Mus musculus: one gene and its partners. The protein of the gene in region 1 purifies or fractionates together with the protein of each later gene. This does not show direct contact. Links are inferred from orthologs where the notes say so. Each region holds a gene or a part of one and is shown in the gene's direction. Other genes may lie near its edges.

Region 1 (5,404 bases):
TTGTGAACCACTATGTGGTTGCTGGGATTTGAACTCTGGATCTTCGGAAGAGCAGTCGGGTGCTCTTACCCACTGAGCCATCTCACCAGCCCAGCCTCAGACTTTTAATGGGATTTAATTTGGGTTCCATCTGCATACAGTACCCTAGGATGAAGAGATCTTAGAGACTGTGCCCTGGTCCTTACAGCAGTACTATCTGTCTCATGGTGATTTATGTCTTGTTATTCCAGTATTCTGAAGATTAAGACTGAGTTGTTTTGAGTTCAAAGCCACTCTGGGTTAGAGAGTGAGTCACTGACTCTGCAGTGAAAACACGTGTTAAGGAAAAATGAAAGTATTTGTCTTTTTGAAAGAGTGCAGGGGGATCCCTTGTGAAGGACCAGCATTCAGAGCAGGAGTACTAGGAGCTCTGAGAACTAGGCAGCCAACATGGGCTAAGGACTGGCCCTGGAGTCACCGTTTTACAGAATAAACAGAAGGTGGCAACAAAACAATTCAGTCTAACAGGTGCTAGGACTGCAGTTTGTCAGAGACCTAATATAAGATGCTTCTTAGTTTGTTTTTGGGGGACAGGGTGGCCTGTCCTAGGTGGCCTGTAGCTGTGCTGTGTATGTAGGCCAGACTTGTCTCAAACATGAGGTAATTCTGTGGCTTTTCCTCCTCAGCGCTAGGATGCATAACCACCTCATCCCCTTAGTATGGCTGGACATGAAGGCCTCTATGTGCAAGTAGAGGTCAGAAAACTTGGGAGAGCTGGTTCTCTCCTATTTTGGGCCTGGGGCTAGAACTCAGGTTGATAATAGTCCCCTCCACCCCCAACGAAATAAGCTAATTCAAGAATAATTTTTTTTAAAAAGGCATATCTATTTGGAAATGGGTTCCCGGGTGAGTCCACCAGCCTCAGAGGTCGGGGGCAGAGTATGGCTGGTACTTTTTTGATAGATTGTAGGCGAAGAAAATGACAAGTCTACCACAAGCTGGGCTTGTGCCCAGGTATGGTCATCTAGGGTGGGGCTTGGGTGGCTGGTGACTAAAGATGAGGATTAGTACAGTCAGGAATTCAGGACTGGATTTTTTGGCGCCTTTTTGTGTTCTGAGGCTTTCTGAGTAGGCGGGGTTGGAAGGAGAGAGAGAGAGAAAATTTGGAATTTACCGGGGATGAGTGGGTGGGGAACAAGCCAACAAGCCGGGGACTCCAAAAACAGGTGATAAGCAGCATTACCAGTTGACCCGACCCCAAATGCATCTTTTAATAATTCTCTCACTAGTTTTGAACCTGCTCTAATGGAAATCTTGCCGACTGACTTCCTGGATGCCCTACTTGGGTATGGAGGGAGCCCTTTTCTTCCGGTCTTTGCGTCTCTGACTGACCCCTTCGACTCCTTCTGAGTTTCAGTTCTGCAACACACAGCATTCCCCATTCCTGGCTTCCCTTTCGCACACTCATCACTTATCTCTGGGTCAGCCTCCTCCCTCCCACCACGCCCGCCCGCATCCCCATCTTCCCATCCCGTTCGCTCGCGCAGTCTTTCCCTCTCTTCCGGCTTCACTTGGCTCTAACCCTCGCGTCCCCCTCTCTCCAGAAGCGTTCTTTTCATTTCCCGGTTGGAGGGGCGGCCCCCGATTCCACTCCGGGGCACCGCTCCCTCGGGGACCTCCCCAGGCTCGGCCGTTGAAGGAGGCGTGGCGCACGAATAACAGGTCTCCTGCCGCACACTCCGCGGGCCCGAGCGCAGACAAAGACATTCCACGGCGCCCGCCCCCTCCGCGCACTCCGCCCGGGGGAGGGGGAGGGGAGACACGTGTACCGCTAGCGCCGGGTCACGTGGAAAAGAAAAAGAAATGAAGGAAGGCGGCGGGCGCCCGCGCAGGCGCCCTAAGCTCGGAGCCCAAGCGGGGAGGCGACGTCTTCAGTCGGCGCAGGCGCCGTGGTCCAACTGGGGACTTTGTTCTCCGCGGAGAAACTCAAGGGCGGTGCCGGTAGGCGCCTGCGCACGCGCGCCGCCTCATTTCCGGTGCTCTCTCGCTGGGTCGCTCGGGTCGGCTTCGGTCGCTGTCGCTCCTGTTCTTCCACCCCCGCCAACCGCCGCTCGGGCCTCAGCTGCCGCCGCGTCGCTTCCTCGCTCGTTCGCTCGCCACCCATCATCCCCGATGCAGCGCCGGGACGATCCTGCCTCGCGCCTCACCCGGTCCTCGGGCCGCAGCTGCTCCAAGGACCCGTCAGGTGCCCACCCCTCGGTGCGTCTGACCCCGTCTCGGCCGTCGCCGCTTCCTCACCGGCCCCGGGGAGGGGGAGGTGGGCCCAGAGGAGGCGCTCGGGCCTCGCCCGCCACCCAGCCGCCGCCGCTGCTGCCTCCCTCCACCCCTGGTCCCGACGCGACGGTGGTGGGTTCCGCGCCGACCCCGCTGCTGCCCCCGTCAGCCACAGCCGCGGTCAAGATGGAGCCGGAGAATAAGTACCTGCCTGAACTCATGGCCGAGAAGGACTCGCTCGACCCGTCCTTCACTCACGCCATGCAGCTGCTGTCCGTAGGTAAGCGGTTCTTGGCGGGTCCTCTGGGTCTCCCGGTCCTGACTGTGGGTGGCCGCCGCTTTGTTCTTGCTCCCACCCCCTCGGAGCCCGGGCATCGAGAGTTGTCATCTCGACCTGGCCTTCGAGATTCTGCACCCACAGTCCCACCCGGGCTCAGGGTGTAAGGGAAGATTTCTGAGCCACGGACGAGGCCCGAAGAGGACTCGCGATCTCAGAGCGCGGAGAGCTTGATGGATAGTACCGTGCTCCCGCCCCCTTCTCCTCCCGTAGTAGTTGCCCCGCGCGCCAAGGGCCGGCTCTTAACAGAAATGAACCTATTTCTCCCCGCTTTCCCAAAGAGGAAACATTTGGGGGGGGGAATCGCGGGTGATGGAGACCTGGGGTGTAAGGTAGAGATAGCCGGAATGCCGGTCCCGCACAGCGCATCTACGGAGCGGGGCGGGATTTAGCGGGAACTCGGGTTTAAGTTCATTAGAGGTCGGGGCGACGAGAGAATCCGTGAGCTTGAGGTTTTCTCAAGCCAAGCTTTCCATTTCGGCCTGTCGAGTAAGAATTGCTGCAGACCCGGATGGTTTCTCTGTTTTATTTTGAAATGTGTTTCTGAAGTTATGCAAAAGTGTGTGTGTGTGTGGGGGGGGGGTTGTGATAGCCCAGGAGACCGTAGAAAGAAATGATAGAGGGAGGTAAGGGGCGGCAGGCAGGTTCTTTTGCGTGAGATGAACGAGAAATTGGTCTTTTTGTTTTAGTTTTTGCTGGAGTAGAGATAGTTTAAGAATGGTAGTCTTTGTTCTCTGATTGTAGACTATGGAGCTCTCTTCTCCGGACTTGAGCGACTTAGATATTTTTCCTTATTCAAACCGCCGCCTGTTGTTAGACATGGTTTTAGTATTTTTTATGATATCGAATTTTTTTTTTTTTTTGATTTTGGTTTTTCGATACAGGGTTTCTGTATAGCCCTGGCTGTCTTGGAACTCACTTTGTAGACCAGGCTGGCCTCGAACTCAGAAATTCGCCTGCCTCTGCCTCCCGAGTGCTGGGATTAAAGGCGTGCGCCACCACTGCCCGGCTGATATCTAATTTTTATTAAGCATCTAATACCCACAGTCTGTCCTACTGGTTGAATAGTTGGACTGTTGAGGGGCTGATGGAACCTTGTCACCAGACAAAAACTGGGAAGGTTGAGCGGATTCAGAAACCCTACTCTGAACCTGGAACACTTGACCAAGACACCCCATGAGTCAGTCACACGGGGTGTTAAACCCCCCCCCCAACACCTGAAGGCCCTCCCTCCACATGCAGATGTAGCATCCCTAACTTCTCCGACCAAGCCAATAGAAAGCATCTGCTTTTAGATCCCACCCCACCCCAAAATGTATATTAGACCCTAGCCACAAGGAATAAAGGTTATTTCATCAAAGACTGCCTGAGAGCTTCAGAATTCTCCCCCCTCTCCTTTGGAGAGCAATGCTCCAGAGCCCCCAGATCTCCTCTGATAGCGTCCAGTACACAGAGCATTGCACTCTGGCCAGAACGATATCGTGGACAGTTCATTGTGAAAGAGCACTATCTAATGGAGAGACAAATCAGCCTTTAAGAGCACTGTCTGCTCTTCCACAGGGGTTCAGTTCCCAGCACCCACATCAGAAGGCTTTCAGACACCTGTAACTTCAGTACTGGGGGATCCTGTTTTTGTTTTCTTTGGTGGTTTTTTTTTTTTTTTTTTTTTTTTTTTGGTTTCTCTGTATAGCCCTGGCTGTCCTGGAACTCACTTTGTAGACCAGGCTGGCCTCGAACTCAGAAATCCGCCTGCCTCTGCCTCCCAAGTGCTGGGATTAAAGGCGTGCACCACCACGCCCGGCTGTTTTCTTTGTTTTTTTTTGTTGTTGTTGTTTTTTCGAGACAGGGTTTCTCTGTATAGACCTGGCTGTCCTGGAACTCATTTTGTTGACCAGGCTGGCCTCTGCCTCCCAAGTGCTGTGATTAAAGGCATGCACCACCACCACCGGCCTGATGTTATCTTATGTCCTACACAGGTACTCAAAATACAAAGCTGAAAAGAAATAAAAGGAATATACCATTTTCCCTTCATCTGCTCTCTGTTTCCCAGCATTGTTGAAGGGGATTTACCGTTTGTATAATGCAAAAAGGTCACGGATCTACAATGACTTAAAGACCTGCTTTTCTTTCCAGTCAAATATGAAAACAGCAAATAAGGGCCTTTGAAGCACAGTAAACAAAACCTGTGGTCAGTGAATAGAAACATCAACTCTGTGCATGTCAGCTTGGTACCTCTATTCTGTAATACTTGGGCTCTTACGTTTCTGTTCTTTTGTTCTGACAACTTAGTAAAATTTTGATTTTTTTTTTTCCTTTTTTTTCTTTTTTAAAAAAAAAAAGGTCTCAAGTAGCTGAGGCTGGGTACTCTCTGTATAGCCACTGGTGACCTTGAATTTGTGGTCCATTTCCTCGAGGGTTTGGGAAGTGAGCCCCACCACACTCAGTTTGTGCAATGCCTAGGATCAGACATAGTACTCTACTAACTGATTTACAATTTGGGTCATTATTTTTTATATTTTTTTCATACTGGCTTGCAAATAGCAAACACCTGTGTTTGATTGGCACTTCGAATAAGTACCTGCAGACTGAAGAATACCATTATGGTAGAGGTTGACTTGCTAATCTTATTTTTATTTCCTCAAATCTTTACAACCTGTCAGATTAATTGCTGAAGAGTTATGTCAATTTTAAGATGTTAACTTTGGAGAGTGACCCTTAGTGACTTGGTCCTGTGAAATTGACTAAGACTGCGGTGTCATCTCTAAAGTAGTGAGTGTGAGGTCTGTTATATGTAAAATCAGCCAGGTTCCTTTG
Region 2 (4,604 bases), on another chromosome or scaffold:
AGACCCTGCCTTCCGGCCAGATCAATCACACTGCTTTGTCATCCTCTATGGAATGGAATTCCGCTTGAAGACCCTGAGCCTGCAAGGTGGGAGACATGGGCTGAGAGGAGGTGGGGTGTAGGTAAGGGGAGCCCAAGCACTTGCTCTTGTGGGAGCTGTGTGCCCTTGGTTCAGCCACTGCTCTGCTCACAGCCACATCTGAGGATGAAGTGAACATGTGGATCAAGGGCTTAACTTGGCTAATGGAGGATACACTGCAGGCAGCCACACCCCTGCAAATTGAGAGGTAAGAATCGTCTTCATGTGGTTAAAACTGTGCATCTCGGAACCAAGGGAAGAGACAGAGACTTCAGGTCTCCTGGGCACACGGTAACTTCTCTTCTACCCAGGCTTTACCTTAGCTGAGAAGAGGCCCTTACCTCAGGCTTTTCTCTCTTCAGGTGGCTCCGGAAGCAGTTCTACTCAGTGGATCGTAACCGAGAGGATCGGTAGGTGCTAAGCTGAGGCGGATGCCTAACCAGTGGGTAGAGGCACCCAGAGCATTGGAGCCAGAGGGTCCATAGAACTGAGTTACATTGGGAGGGGTTAGGGGCTCTGACACAAAAGTAGTCCATGCTGCTGAGCGTGGGGTACAGAGATAGTGCTGGACTTCTAGGTGTAACTGGCAATGCAGCCAGAGCACCAGGAGCTGGAGGAAGCAGAGACCAGATGGCCTGCTGTCAGTGCTGCTTTGTACTGTTGCAAGGTCCCCCAGAGGCAGGAAGCCATGGGATGTGTAGAGGAGTGACCTGCTCTGACCTAGAGTTTCCCCAGTGTCCTACATAGGCTTACAATTGCTGCAGTGAAACACCATGAACGAACAGCTTGGGGAGGTAAGGGTTTATTCAGCTTCAATTGGCTTCCTCGTTGCTGTTGATCACCAAAGGAAACCAGCTCAGGAACTCAAACAGTGCAGGATCCTGGAGGCAGGAGCTGATGCAGAGGCCATGGAGGGGTGCTGCTTACTGGCTTGCTCCTCATGGCTTACTCAGCCTGCTTTCTTATAGAGTCCACGACTACCAGCCTAGAGGTGTCCCTACCCACCAACATAGAGCTGGGCCCTCCCACACCAATCACTAATTAAGAAAATGCCCTGCAGGCTTGCCTACAGCTGGATCTTACAGAGGCATTTTCTCAATCGAAGCTCTCTCTTTTACCGATGACTCTGGCTTGTGTCAAGAAGACATAAAACTAGGCAAACACAACCAAGATCATACTGCTGTAGAGGGCTGTTAGACACTGTCCGACCATTCTGGGTGTAGGTGAGAGGGCTCAGGTTGAGGTAATAATAGTAGGAATTAGCTGGATTTGGGCTATGTTCTTTGTTTAAAATTGCATCTAAAAAGTCAGAGATCAATAGGCTTTTGACATGCGCAACTGGGAAGTAAAGTTGCCATTGGCTGAGACAAGAAGACAGTGGGAGGAACTTACTGTGGGAGCTTAGGGTCCAGTATGGATGTAAGTTTTATGGTGCATAATAGATTCCCAGGTAGAGAGGTATGGAGTTACCAGGCTGGTAGAATGAGTTCAAATGAGGAGGTCGGGCTGGAGGTAGTAACACAGGACTGTGGACAGGTGAAATGGAAACTCTTGGGGTCCCCAGATAAAAACTCAGGGACCCAGATAGCAAGAAAAGGGAAGAGGCCAAGTGGCAGCTGCAGACTGCTTCCACATGGGAAGCTAGGAAAGGAGGAGTATGCTTAACCCTTCTGAGTAGTCATGTTGTGGGGAAAGCAGCTTCAGTCCGTGGTGAGCAGCTTAGGGGCAGAGGAGATTGCAGGTGAGTCTTGTGAGAGTTTTCCATAGCGCTGGACGGATGGCTCAGCGCTTAAGAGCACTCACTCAGAGGTCAATTCCCAGCAACACATGGTGGCTCACAACCATCTGTAATGGGCTCCAATGCCCTCTTCTGGCGTGTCTGAAGACAGCAACAATGTACTCACATACATCAAATAAATAAATAAATAAATACTCTTAAAAAAGGAGTTTTGCATAGAGGGGAAGGGACAACAAACACAGAATTAAGCAGGGCAGGGTGGAGAGAGCAGTGTGATTTTTATGACAGCGGGAAAGGGAGGAGACAGGCTTGACTGCAGCTTCCTGGCTGACTGAGGGTCAGGTGACCCAATGCTCCCCGCAGAGCCTTGACTCTAGGGCATTGGTTCTCAACCTGTGGGTCTCGACCCCTGTGGGGGGGGTTGGATGACCCTTTCCCAGGAGTCACCTAAGACTTTCTGCACAGCAGACATTTACATTAGGATTCATAACAGTAGCAAAGTTACAGTTAGGAAGTAGTGATAAAATAATTTTCTAGTTGGAGGTCACCACAACGTGAGGAGGAACTGTATTAAAAGGGCGCAGCATTACTTTGGGAACTACCTGTTCCAGGACATTCAATTATTGGTGAAGATCCGAGCCTTAGGGAATTTTGGTCTTTCGTGCCTGGCTTTAGGCCAGAAGAGGGTGTGTTCTCTCTCCAGCACCCACTCCTCCCAGGAGAGCATCCTTTTCCAGCTTTTTCATCCTGTTGTTGTCCAAGCTGCTATGCTTAGAGGGTAGAGTGCGCTGATGCTCTCTTCTCTCTCTGTCTCCCTCTCCTCTCCCTCTTCTCTCTTCCCTTCTGTCCCTCTCTCTGAGTTCTTTTCCTGGAGCCTCAGGAGTGTGCTCAGCAGCAGCAGTTACACATGGCTAAGGGTGCCCGCGCTCCCTTCCCTGCTACCTATCCTGGGGACTGTGGGTCCTAGGATGCCTCCGTTAGTGGCAGTGGGCACTGCCCTGCCCTGTACAGGCAGCAGATCAGAGCTGGGGGCAACTGCTGGAAATGGCTTATTCTGCCTCCCATCCCAGCCTGACCTGCTTTCCTCTGCTTTCCTGAGCTTGGTCACTTGTGGCTATTGGGCTTTTTCTCTTTCACTGCAGAAACTTGAGGCCCAGAGAAAGGCAGGAACTCGCTCCATCTAGCACAGCATGAAGTTTGAAAGAGTGTTGCTCTTAAGACTGCAGGTTCCCAGAGTATAGGTGTTTACCTGTCCATCCTTAGGTTCAGCCTAAAGTCAAAAGGGAATCCTTTTTCTCCCCTTAGTATATCAGCCAAGGACTTGAAGAACATGCTGTCTCAGGTCAACTACCGAGTCCCCAATATGCGCTTCCTCCGAGAGCGGCTGACGGTAATGGACACTTGGGGCTATCCTCTGGCAAGGAAGGGGAGGCCAGTGACTCCTCCTAAGGGGCTTGACTGGCAGTTTTGCTCTGTACTATGTAGGACCTTGAACAGCGCAGCGGGGACATCACCTACGGGCAGTTTGCTCAGCTGTACCGCAGCCTCATGTACAGCGCCCAGAAGACGGTGCATGAACCTCCCACCCTCCCTGTCCTTGGCCCAACTCCTCTGCCTTCTCTCATAGCCCTGCTGCCCTGCTTTGGAGTGGTTTTGGTGCCATTACTCTAGCCACACACACCCCTCCCCCGGGGCATCTGCTCCCTAGCCTTTTCTTAAGAGCCCCTTTCCTGCATGGCCTCCCAGGGCTCCTCCTGACCAGATTCTGTTCTCTGCAGATGGACCTTCCCTTCTTGGAAACCAACGCTTTGAGGTTTGGTTTGGAACAGCCAATTGGGCTTTTTCTCTGGGTGGTTTCAGATCCAGGTGGGAAGCAGTGGGTAGATGGGGATGGGGCATAATAAACCACTGGGTATCTACACTAGACGGGGGCCCTTTGTCAGCCAGTGCCAGACACTAGGTTTTCTCCCTACAGGACTGGAGAGCGTCCGGAGCATTGCCAGGTGTCCCTTTCTGAGTTCCAGCAGTTCCTCCTTGAATACCAGGGGGTATGTCTGGGCCAGGGAGTTAGGCTGCAGGGTGGCTTCATCATTGGTGGCCTCCTCCATGACTTCTTTACCTGGCAGGAGCTGTGGGCTGTCGACCGGCTCCAGGTGCAGGAATTCATGCTCAGCTTCCTTCGAGACCCCTTGCGAGAGATTGAGGAGCCATACTTCTTCTTGGATGAGGTGAGCCTCACCTTTCCCACCATTCTGTTAGAGAAAGCAGGTGGGGTGGGTGACCAGAGCTGACCTGTGCTCTAAAAGCTGTGCATGCACTCTACTGCCTACTTTGCCAGTGGAGTCGAGACTCAGCACATTCTTGTACCTACTTCCATCCCAAGTGGCAGCCAGCACTCATTCACTTTCTCCTCCACATTTATCCTTGTAGCTTGTCACCTTCCTGTTCTCCAAAGAGAACAGCGTGTGGAACTCACAGCTGGATGCTGTGTGCCCGGACACCATGAACAACCCACTCTCTCACTATTGGATCTCCTCCTCACATAATACGTGAGTAAGCCTCTTTTTGCTCATCCAACCCTTCCTAAGGAGGGAGGAAGGCCCTCCAGACCATATGTACCTCTCCTTGCTTATCCAGGTACCTGACTGGGGACCAGTTCTCCAGTGAGTCCTCCCTGGAAGCCTATGCTCGCTGCCTGAGGATGGGCTGTCGCTGCATTGAGTGTACGTTGGGTCTAAGGTTTGGAGAGGGAAGGTGAGAGGCCTGCCTGTTTGACTGTGTGATATTG
Region 3 (4,604 bases), about 190 kb from region 1:
GGATTAAAATTGTGTGTCACAGTTGCTCTGCTAATTAGCTGAAGGAATTCATGACAGCTGGTAGGAACAGTGTAGAAGAGTGGTCCAGCTGGGCAGGAAAAGGAAAGGAGAAACTTCTAGAAGACAAGAAATGAAGCAAAGAGACTTTGAAGGAAGAGTCTAGCTATCTGTGTGGAGAATCCAACAATAATCTGTGATAGAGAAAGTCAGGTCTCTGGGAAGAAGACACAGGCATGAAGCATGTCAGCTTTGGCTGCTGTGGAGATGGGGCTCTGTCTTAACTGGAGGCAAGAAGCCTCTGGATCCTCTGCTCATATCCCAACCTAGCCCTCTGGAAAAGGCCATCCCATATGCTGAGCATCCCCTCCTTGTGCACAGCATCCCCCTTGTGCACAGCACCCCCCTTATGCACAGCATCCCCCTCTTTTGCACAGCATACCCCCTTGTACACAGCATCCCCCTTGTGCACAGCACCCCCCTTATGCACAGCATCCCCTTATGCACAGCATCCCCCTCTTGTACACAGCATCTCCCTTATGCACAGCATCCCCCTTATGCACAGCATCCCCCTCTTGTACACAGCATCTCCCTTATGCACAGCATTCCCCTCTTGTACACAGCATCTCCCTTATGCACAGCATCCCCCTCTTATGCACAGCATCCCCCTCTTGTGCACAGTATCCCCCCTTGTACACAGCATCACCTCCTTGTGCACAGCATCCCCCTTTGTGCACAGCATCCCTCCTTGTGCACAGCATCCCTCCTTGTGCACAGCATCCCCCTCTTGTGCACAGCATACCCCCTTGTGCACAGCATCCCCCCTTGTGCACAGCATCCCTCCTTGTGCACAGCATCCCTCCTTGTGCACAGCATCTCCCTTATGCACAGCATCCCTCCTTGTGCACAGCATCCCCCTCTTGTGCACAGCATCCCCCTTGTGCACAGCATCTCCCTTATGCACAGCATCCCCCCTTGTGAACAGCATCCCTCCTTGTGCACAGCATCCCTCCTTGTGCACAGCATCTCCCTTATGCACAGCATCCCCCCTTGTGCACAGCATCCCTCCTTGTGCACAGCATCCCCCCTTGTGCACAGCATCCCCCTCTTGTGCACAGTATCCCCCCTTGTGCACAGCATCTCCCCCTTGTGCACAGCATCCCCCCTTGTGCACAGCATCCCTCCTTGTGCACAGCATCCCCCCTTGTGCACAGCATCTCCCCTTGTGCACAGCATCCCTCCTTGTGCACAGCATCCCCCTCTTGTGCACAGCATTCTCCCTGTGCACAGCATCCCCCTCTTGTGCACAGCATCCCCCCTGTGCACAGCATCCCCCTCTTGTGCACAGCATCCCCCCCCCTTGTGCACAGCATCCCCACCTTGCACAAGCATTCTCTTCCCTTGCTCACATCATCCCCCCCTTCGACCCCCAAGCACACACTTTTTCTCAGTCCTCATTCTTCCTTGCCACGGTCAGGCACTGCTTCCAGATCCTAGGTGGATCCTAGGTGGATCTAGGTGGATCTGGAAGGGTCTACGGGCTTCGTCCTGGGCAATTTAAGTCAACAACTCTTGCTTTTGCTCACAGGGAGCCTAGTAGATTTTCTCAAGACTCCCTCGGGCATCAAGTTGAATGTCAACAAACTTTTGGACATGGCAGCCCAGGTAAGGAGCCGGGCAAAGGGCTGGGTATGGCTACAGATCAGTGGGGTAAGGACTGGTGACCTATTCCTGGCCTGCAGATTGCAGAGGGCATGGCGTTCATCGAAGAACAGAATTACATCCATCGGGACCTGCGCGCCGCCAACATCCTGGTGTCTGACACGCTGAGCTGCAAGATTGCAGACTTTGGCCTGGCGCGCCTCATTGAGGACAATGAGTACACGGCCCGGGAGGGTAGGTGTGGGATAGAGAGGAGGTTCATGGCCAGCAGGAGAGCAAGCACACACAGGGGGACTAACTTTGCTTCTCTCTAGGGGCCAAATTTCCCATTAAGTGGACAGCACCAGAAGCCATTAACTATGGGACCTTCACCATCAAGTCAGACGTGTGGTCCTTCGGGATCTTGCTTACAGAGATCGTCACCCACGGTCGAATCCCTTACCCAGGTGAGCTTTCCTTAAGACAAGCAACTCTAAGTCTTCAAGGAAGGGGAGCCAAGCCATACCTTCCTGCTCACCTCTACCCAGGCTCAGACTCTGAAACTCTGAGTTGCTTCTCTCCCATCCACTTGGGCCTGTGACTCCGAAATCTTCTGTTAGATGCTTCATTCCATCTCTGCCTCTGAGTCCCCACACTTCTCAAAAACTCCAGTTCTTCCTTGCTTGGTTATGGCAGAGGCCACCTAGTATGTCAGAGGTGGACAGGAGGTAAAGGTTTCTCTGTTTGGCCCTGGCTGTCCAGGAACTCACCATGTAAACCAGGCTGGCCTCAAAACTCAGACATCCATTTGTCTCTGTCTCCAAAATGCTGGGATTAAAAGTGTGCCACCACTGCCTGACCTCCAGTTTCTTAATAGGAGATCAGAATAGTGCTTAGGCCACACTAAGCCATTACTAGTCATTACTCTGGGTACGTTATGTTGCCCTCTGAGCCTGTTTCCCCATACATAGAACAAGAGACTTTGTGAAACACTTGCATGGGAGCTGCTTAGTAAGCACTGGTGCTTTCCTACTGAGATGTCACAGCTAAAGAGAGAAACCATGTAGATCCCTCCTTCTAGGAAAGGCCTTTATCCCGATTTTATTGAATGTTTGTTTTTTAGCCATTAGGTTGTTTTTTTTTTTTTTTTTTTTTTTTTTTTTTTTTTTTTGGAGACAATGTCTTACATAGCTTAAGCTGACCTCTAACACTCTATGAATCTGAAGATGTCCCCTGAGCTCCCAGTATTCCTGCTTCTGCCTCACTGGGAGGTGCTTGTATTACAGCAAGCATGTGCCTATGTACCTGGGGATCAAACCCAGGTCCTGTGCACGCAAGGTAAGTGTGCTGCCCCTGAGCCATGCTTCTAAGCCTGGGGGTGGGATTTTTCTAGAAGGAATTTGATAACCTCTGTGGAAAGAAAATGCCACAGAAAATAGTAGGAGGTTATAGAGTTCAGAGGTCAGATTGGCAGAAACTTCCCACAGGCCCAGGGCAACAGGCATTGAAATTTGATCCCAGGAATGTAAAGGCACTTTGAATCTCACAGTTAGAGGCTAGAAGTGTTCCCAGCTCTGGGCTTGTTCTATCTCACAGCCCAGTATTCATCTCCTGTGCTTAGGCCCAAAAGCTAGAGATACCTCAACATTGCCCTGGCTGTGGGCTCTCATCCCATCCTGAGCCCTGACTACCCCATCATTGCCATCAAATACGAACAACCCCAGGTACACCTTATAAAAGAACACCCCTAGTCAGGTACCTCTTATATACACTGATCCTTCAGTCCTCGTTAAAACTCGGTGATTCACGCTATGCCAGAAGAGGAAGCCGAGGAGGTGGCCCAGTCAAGGTCCTGCGGCTGGCATGTATGTTATTGAGTGTGTGTAGGCACTATAGGTGTGGGCCTGACATTCATTCAGCAGGAAATGCTAGTGTGCCTTACCTTAATGAAGACTAGCATCAGGTTGGATTGGTAGTTCCATATTCTGAACCTTACCTGTGTTGGTCAGCATTCCATTAATGAAAACAAAAACAACCAAAGACTCCCGAGACACTCTCAGGTGACCCAAGCTTGGGTGACTTGCTGAGGAAGCCTGATGAACCAAGTTCAATCCCCGGTATTCCTGGAAAGGTAGAAGAAGAGAACCTGCATTCATTCATTCATTCATTCATTCATTCATATTTTTGATTTTTTGGGGACAGGGTTTCTCTGTATAGTCCTTGGCTCTCTTGGAACTCACTTTGTAGACCAGGATGTCCTTGAACTCCCAGAGATCTGATTGCCTCTGCCTCCTGAGTATTGAGATTAAAGGCATGGTGGCCTGACTGAGATCCCATACTTAAAAATTGTTGTCTGAGGGGGATGGGGAGACTGGAGAGATGGCTTAGTAGCTACGAGCACTGGCTGCTCTTCCAGAGGACCTGGGTTCAGATCTCAACACCCATAAAGCAGATTACAGCTGTCTGTAATTCCAGTTCCAGAGAATTTAGTGCCCTCTTCTGGCCTCCTTGAGCACTGCACACATGCGATATGTGTACATGGAAAACACACTTATAGAAATAAAATTTTAAGCTGAAGATGGTGGCACACACCTTTAATCCCAGAAACACATGAATCTCTGAGTTTGAGGCCAGCTTGATTTACAGAGTTCCAGGACAGCCAGGGGTACACAGAGAAACCCTGTCTTGAAAAACAAAAAAAAGAAAGAAAGAAAGAGAGAAAGAAGATAGATGGATGGATGGATGGATGGATGGATGGATGGATGGATGGATGGATGGATAGATACATAGATAGATAGATAGATAGATAGATAGATAGATAGATAGATAGATAGATAGATAGATAGATAGATAGATAGATAGATAAAATAAGTAGGAAAGAAAGAGAACTGGAGTCAGTTTAGCATCAGCCTTGCTTTTGAGTTTCCAAAGATTAAAGTCTTGATGTTTTTTTCTTCCATCAACGT

Evidence for each region. The genes of interacting proteins can lie anywhere in the genome.
Region 2: the proteins of Khdrbs1 (region 1) and Plcg1 purify together in Homo sapiens (affinity purification with western blotting; 7 studies listed by BioGRID and IntAct, with this or other methods). This does not show direct contact. The link is inferred for Mus musculus from reciprocal best matches to the Homo sapiens genes KHDRBS1 and PLCG1.
Region 3: the proteins of Khdrbs1 (region 1) and Lck purify together in Homo sapiens (affinity purification with western blotting; 5 studies listed by BioGRID and IntAct, with this or other methods). This does not show direct contact. The link is inferred for Mus musculus from reciprocal best matches to the Homo sapiens genes KHDRBS1 and LCK.

Annotation. Positions count from the first base shown.
Region 1 is NC_000070.6:129,738,908-129,744,311, reverse strand, and holds the start of Khdrbs1 (KH domain-containing, RNA-binding, signal transduction-associated protein 1), read left to right. Parts: upstream 1-2,008; 5' UTR 2,009-2,151; coding exon 2,152-2,533; intron 2,534-5,404. UniProt on the Homo sapiens protein: Recruited and tyrosine phosphorylated by several receptor systems, for example the T-cell, leptin and insulin receptors. Once phosphorylated, functions as an adapter protein in signal transduction cascades by binding to SH2 and SH3 domain-containing proteins.
Region 2 is NC_000068.7:160,747,842-160,752,445, forward strand, and holds part of Plcg1 (1-phosphatidylinositol 4,5-bisphosphate phosphodiesterase gamma-1), read left to right. Parts: coding exon 1-86; intron 87-192; coding exon 193-286; intron 287-440; coding exon 441-488; intron 489-3,121; coding exon 3,122-3,206; intron 3,207-3,301; coding exon 3,302-3,385; intron 3,386-3,594; coding exon 3,595-3,629; intron 3,630-3,791; coding exon 3,792-3,864; intron 3,865-3,942; coding exon 3,943-4,044; intron 4,045-4,246; coding exon 4,247-4,365; intron 4,366-4,453; coding exon 4,454-4,539; intron 4,540-4,604. UniProt on the Homo sapiens protein: Mediates the production of the second messenger molecules diacylglycerol (DAG) and inositol 1,4,5-trisphosphate (IP3). Plays an important role in the regulation of intracellular signaling cascades.
Region 3 is NC_000070.6:129,549,006-129,553,609, reverse strand, and holds part of Lck (proto-oncogene tyrosine-protein kinase LCK), read left to right. Parts: intron 1-1,585; coding exon 1,586-1,662; intron 1,663-1,739; coding exon 1,740-1,893; intron 1,894-1,973; coding exon 1,974-2,105; intron 2,106-4,604. UniProt on the Homo sapiens protein: Non-receptor tyrosine-protein kinase that plays an essential role in the selection and maturation of developing T-cells in the thymus and in the function of mature T-cells. Plays a key role in T-cell antigen receptor (TCR)-linked signal transduction pathways.